Macaca mulatta: one gene and its partner. The protein of the gene in region 2 interacts with the protein of the main gene of each other region in a pairwise test. Links are inferred from orthologs where the notes say so. Each region holds a gene or a part of one and is shown on either strand. Other genes may lie near its edges.

The links.
Region 1: the proteins of FLII (region 2) and LRRFIP1 interact in binary tests that used the Homo sapiens proteins (3 or more experiments, as listed by UniProt). The link is inferred for Macaca mulatta from reciprocal best matches to the Homo sapiens genes FLII and LRRFIP1.

The regions. Positions count from the first base shown.
Region 1 is NC_133417.1:143,002,251-143,005,905, reverse strand, and holds part of LRRFIP1 (leucine-rich repeat flightless-interacting protein 1), read right to left. Parts: intron 2,648-3,655; coding exon 2,506-2,647; intron 143-2,505; coding exon 1-142.
Region 2 is NC_133421.1:19,829,112-19,831,729, forward strand, and holds the end of FLII (protein flightless-1 homolog), read right to left. Parts: coding exon 2,615-2,618; intron 2,484-2,614; coding exon 2,329-2,483; intron 2,244-2,328; coding exon 2,183-2,243; intron 2,078-2,182; coding exon 1,949-2,077; intron 1,546-1,948; coding exon 1,439-1,545; intron 1,356-1,438; coding exon 1,250-1,355; intron 1,119-1,249; coding exon 1,053-1,118; intron 972-1,052; coding exon 837-971; 3' UTR 536-836; downstream 1-535. UniProt on the Homo sapiens protein: Is a regulator of actin polymerization, required for proper myofibril organization and regulation of the length of sarcomeric thin filaments. It also plays a role in the assembly of cardiomyocyte cell adhesion complexes.

The DNA of each region.
Region 1 (3,655 bases), on a different chromosome or scaffold from region 2:
TCTCCAGCAGGGAATACCTCTATGTCCACACAATCTTTCACTGTGTCCTCTGTGTGTTGTTCTTTCTCAGTATTGTGCAAGATTTCTCTTTTCCCCACATTCGCCACGATTTCATTTTTCACCTCCACTTCACTGGCTCTTCCTAAAAGACCATTGAGAAAATTGAAGGGACCCCATGATGTGGCGGCCACATAATTTACATTAGAATGTAAATACATGTTCTAAATCCCACCCACCCCTATTCCTAAAGAGAGTCATCAAAGAGTCATGAGAAACAAGCCTTTGCCAGTTCTGTGCGGCAAAGCAGCAGTTGCATTAGTAAATTTTGGGTCAGTGAGGGCCACTGCCACCACATCAAAGGCCAGAGTGGCTGCTGGTGCCATCTTGTGTGGACAGATTTTTAAAGGTGAAGTTAAGTTTTGACAAATAGAAAGAACTCTGGATCAGGCAGCCAAACAATCCACAATGATGGGTTTAGGAACGCACTGAAGGTGCAATTCCCCACTCTCACTTCTCAACACACAACTTGACAACTTGTATTTTTGCAGCTGTCAAACTGCACTGCATGTCACACAGCCCTAAAAGCAGCTTGCAAGTAATTTTTTCAAAGAATATTCAGTGCACTTTTAGAAATGCAGCCTCAGGGTCAATCTCAAGGAAGATGCTTTTGAAATAGCTCATATGAAAAGAAATCTAGCTTCTGCCACTCAACCATTGTCTTCCTGAGAAAACACCCTGTGTCCGTGCCCTGATACCTCTGCTCCATTCCCTAAGGGACTAGGGAGAGAGGACCAGCAGGAGGCAAATGTTGAAAGATCAAGACGACCACTAAATTAAATAAATTATTCATCGTCTAAAGAACATCAAACTGTTTTGGAATTTTTGGATTCTCCAAACAAAACCGCAGCAGATTAGATATAGTACTATGTTACTGAAAGTCAAAGCTAGATAATTTTATAGCCCAGTGGTCTCCATAGTGGGGTGCCCGTATCCCAGGGAAAATGGAGGAAATATTAGGAATTCTATTTAGAGTTTTACTCTAAAACTTCTTTGCATATGTTTTTATATGCTTTATAATGTACATTTTATACTAATGAAATAGTATACATATATAGATTTAAAATAAACATATATATTGGAAAGTTCCTACAATTATTTACCGAAGGAATGTGTGATCAAAAGTCATTTGAAGGCCACTTTCAAAACTGACATTTCTGGTTCTTTAAACATCTCACAATGGTTATCAAAGATTTAGTAACAGCAGCATAATCAAATTCCTAGCTGTTTGGGTAGCTCATATAAAGGTATGATGGAAATTAATTTATTTATCTTTTTTCAACAATTATATACATATCTAGAGATGGAATCTTGCTATGTTGCCAGGCTGGCCTGGAATTCCTGGTCTCAAATGATCCTCCAGTCTTGGCACCTGCAGCATTGGGATTAGAAGTGTGAGCCACTGCACTTGGCCACAACTTTTTTACACAATTGAAAAGAGCTGTGTTTCTTTAATAGTCATAAAGATAATGAATGAGGTATCTCCCTGGAATACAAGTCCTGAGAAGATGGGGCCTGGAGGTGTCTACGTTTCCATAAATAAAAAGAAGTAAGATGAAAGTTTCTAAATTAAAACGAAAAGTCATGGACCCTGACCTTATTCCAGCCTCCTTGTGAAACACTGGAATGCAGAGGGTGACCAGTGACAGATGAGGCCTCACTTGCATGCTGCAACTTCAGGTTGCACGCCAGAATCTGAAGGTTCCTCCCAAAGCCAACTCTTATGACAAATTATGACAAATCAGGTCATTGAAAATGGTATAAGATACTCCTCTAATCTACTGGATTCCCCAGTTTTATATTCTTTCAGAAGCAAACACATGGCATACAAAGGAGGATCTCCTCTGACAAAGTGGGCATACTCAGACTCTCAGCACGGCTACACCCCTACCACGGCCGCCCGCTCGCCTCGAGCGTGGCTTGAAAACGGCAACACAGATGGACCTGCTGTCCACAGGCACCCCGTGCCCTCAAAACGCTGAATGCTTTCCAGGATGTCGAGGTTGGCTTGCAAATATGGCCAACTTACTGACTTGACAGCCTCGACTATTCTGATCTTTTGATAATTCTGTCACAGAATCAGTTTAAAAAGCCACACTTTATATGTACAGATATATATGTGTCTGAGGAAAACCAAATAGTACTCTCCACATTGTTACTTAATTTTGAGACCACTTTCCTTGCCTTCACAGTCTTGCTTGGTAGCTTTGAGCAGCAAAAGAAAAGATATACTTGAGCCACTGATGGTGCACGACACAGAGATGCATGCCAGACAACACGTGGATGACCACACCGGTGGTAAGGAAATTACCATGAAGTGATGAAACAAATGGCATGCCGGTGACTGTTAACCCAGCAGTGACAGTGGCTCCAACCCCAACAGCGCATGGAGGGTGAACCAATGCTGAGTGGAAAGGCGGAAGAAGCCGAAGGAAAGCAAATACTTACCTAGGGTCCCATCCCCTGTCGACTTGAGGGCATTTAACTCTGCTTTCGTCATCTTGGTAGGACCTTGGTATCCAACATTATTGAGAGTGTCAGAAGTCTCTCCATTGGTAGCTATTTCTGAATTTAGGATTATTCCGTGTTTCTGGGAACAAAAATAGGCTCATCGTAATATTTACTCAGTGATATTAGGTTAAACTCTGCTTTAATACAACTAACAAAAAGGAAAAGAAAACCATTTTTTCCTGAAGTACAGGGTAACTCCACAGAGACAGAGAACTGCTAGGGTGCAGCGCTCGTAAATATTCGGTCAACACACACAAATCTGGGATATCATCCTCTAAAGGCTACTTCTTTCTCAGATGTTCCAATCCATGCCTTCCTTTGCTGGTGACAAGCTACTTCCACCAGGCATCCTTTTCAACTACAGGTAGTGGCCTGTGGGCTGCCCCCAAGTGAAGTGGAGCAGTAAGCAAGTCACTGTCATGCAACCTTTCATTTTAAAACCCTGGTTGCATTCTTTAAAAAGCAGAGCCAGATAAAGAAAGAAATATATCCATGTTCTGAAAGGGGCATATGAAACTTACGTTAAAGAAGGAATTAAGAGGTGGCTAGAACGTTCAGTATATTCAAAAGAAACAGAATTCACTGAAAACAGCGGCACTTCGCAACTGCAGACATCACTCACCCACGCCCTCCTGCCGCCCGCGTCTCTCTCCCTTGTGTGTGAGGAACTCCCCTGTACTGATCGCCTCTTTGAGGAGCAGAATTACGAATCTTAGCTCTAAGCCTGTACCTGGCTGGCTCACCGCTCTGGCTTTGACTCTGGAGGCCAAGCAGCAGATGGTGACAGTTCAGGAAACCCCCACCCAGAGTGCTGTCATTGGCACTTCACCTGTGTCAAGCAGCCCATGAAGACGCCTTAGCATGGCCCACAAAGGACAGGGAACCTTCTTCCACCTGTAATCTAGTAGGTCTCAAAGTCTAATTAGCGGGATCCTTGCTCAAACCACTTACCCAAGTCACTGTTCATCTAGAGAAGTCCTTAAATTGGGGGTTTTAATATAAAGAGGCAAATTAATTCTCTAAGTCTGAGTAATATCCTGGAGAATTTACTAATGAGTATGAGAAAAATTTAGATAATATATCAAAA
Region 2 (2,618 bases):
TGGCACCTGCCTGGCCCCTTAACATAGACCCACGCCTGCTAACCTGTAGGCTCCACTGGGACCTGCTGTCCTGTCCTGCCTGACCCTGGGCCCTGGAGCAGCACCAGCCCCAGGGTGTGGGCCTGGGACTTGGGCCAGAACTGAGCCCTCCTGCAGGCATTTGGCTGCCCTGGGGGGGCCCACTGCCTAGGGAAGAGGACAGGTGGGGCCCAGCACCTTGTGCCACCTCCCACTCCACACACCGTCCTTCCCCCTCACTTTGCAAAGAGTATTTTTCTAGCGCCTGGGCTGGACGGTTGTTTCTAAAACTATTTTGGTACCTGGTCCTGGGCCAGTCCCCAGCCTGTCATGAGTGTGTGTGTCTGAGTGTGGATGTGACTGGGAGCTCTGCTGGGCATCCACAGCTGGGGCCTAGTCAGGTGTGTGTGTTGGGGGGGGTGGGGGGCCCAAGATGAGTTTCCCTGTAGATTGTACCTTGGGGTTTTTTTCTGTTATTTTGTTAAAATTAGCGCCATTTTAATATTAAAAATACTGATTTTTAATATTGAAAATAAAAGCATTTAATATCTCTTAAAGGGCAGCCACATCTGCTTTATCCCTGGCAGAAAAGTGAGGGGGTTTCACACGTGCTCACACTGTGGAGGGAGTCGGATTTCCCAGACCCCTAAGGGCACCTGTCAGGGTCATCCCCATTGGTGCTGCTTGAGGCTACTGGGGACTGTGACACTGGACGTGGCTGGAGCAGGCGTTGTCACCTCAGTATATTCTTTGCTAGCAGACAGTGGATGAGGGCCCCTTCCTCTTCCTTACCAAGCCTGGGGCTGTGCCAGCCTGTCTTAGGCCAGGGTCTTGCGGAAGGCACTCCAGGCATGGAAGCAGCGGGTAAAGGCGTGCTGCTCGTTGCCCTTGCGGACCAGGCGCAGCCGGCGCGGCCGCTCATGTTCCTTGGACCGAATGTGCTGGATATACACCTGGCAAGGGGACAGCGAGCCTTGGGTGATGACCCCGCCCTGCCCACAGGCCCACCTCGGCCCTCCCTCCACCCACCTTACCTGGCAGGCCTTCAGGCTCAGCTTGATCTCCACCTGGCTAGTCTGGGTCCCCACCCACATGTAGACCTGTGGGGGCAGCAGAGGAGATACGGTTGCACGGGCGCCTGGGAACACCCCCTTGCTCCTGGCCCCAAATTTCCCATTTATAAGTCTATGGGCGCCGCCTCAGATGGGCAGGGCCAGTGGCAACATCGCACCTCTTGACCGTTGTCTAGCAACATGATGTCATCATCTGCCAGGTCATCTTGACAAAAATCGGAGCATTTCTCAGTCACTGCGAAGTAGCCCTTCTCGTTGGAGCACCTGGGAATCAAGGGTCAAGGTGAGGCCAGAGGTCATAAGCAGCAGTGCCAGGACCGAGGGGAGGGTCGGGGCCCTGGCCTCACCGGAAGAGCCGTGTGTGCTTCATGTACTCGGCATCGTCGTCATAGGGCTTCTGTGCCCCAATGCCCACCCAGAAGAAGTTCTCAGGCTCCTCGCCTTCGTTGATAACCTGCGGGAAAGGCCAGTCCAGCCCAGGGCCCCTGCCTGCCCTGGCTCCCCTGTGTGCGCCCGCCCGCCTGCCCGCCCGCCTCCTGACCTGCCCGCCCGCCTGCCCACCCGCCCGCCTGCCTCCTGACCTGCCCGCCCGCCTCCTGACCTGCCCGCCCGCCTGCCCGCCCGCCTCCTGACCTGCCCGCCCGCCTGCCCGCCCGCCTCCTGACCTGCCCGCCCGCCTCCTGACCTGCCCGCCCACCTCCTGACCTGCCCGCCCGCCTGCCCGCCCGCCTCCTGACCTGCCCGCCCGCCTGCCCGCCCGCCTCCTGACCTGCCCGCCCGCCTCCTGACCTGCCCGCCCGCCTGCCGCCTGACCTGCCCGCCCGCCTGCCCGCCCGCCCGCCCGCCCGCCTCCTGACCTGCTTGCTGTAGGAGGTGTCAAACATGGTGTTCAGGATGTCTTCTGCCAACTTGGCTTCGTCAGGGTCTGATGCCCGGCCCACCCAGGCATACACGATGCCCTGGTTGTCGTCACTCTCAAAGGGAACCTGGGGAGTGTGCAGGGGTGGGGGTGGGGGTGTTTGCAGCTGACTCAGCGCCCAAACACCCCACCCCTTGGTCCACGGAGCCCTGGCTCACACCCACAACCCCACCTTGAGGATGAAGCAGAACTCGGAGTTGAGAAGACTGGAGTCAGTGTTGATCTGGATGCACCTGTGGAAGGGATGGGGCATCAGCAAGGCGTCAGGCCTGGTTCCCTGACCCCTGCTCGCCACTGTGTCCTCCCCCAGCCAGGCACCGGGTGCAGAGGGCGCTGCCGTTGGTGCGGATCTGGTAGAGGCTGGGCTGCTGGGCGCCCTGGGCCGCCTTCCTCTTGCCCCGGTGGATGATGAACTTCCTCTTGAAATGGGACAGAAACTTGGGGTTCTCCTGCTGCTGCGTCATGCGTACCACCTGGGGATGTGGAAGTGTTAGGGGCAGCTCCCTGGACCCCCACCTTCCCCTCAGGAGCCTAACCTTCTCTGGGTCTGGGCCCCACCACACCCCTCCGCCTGGCCTCGGGCTCGCGGGGCTGCCAGGCACACCTCC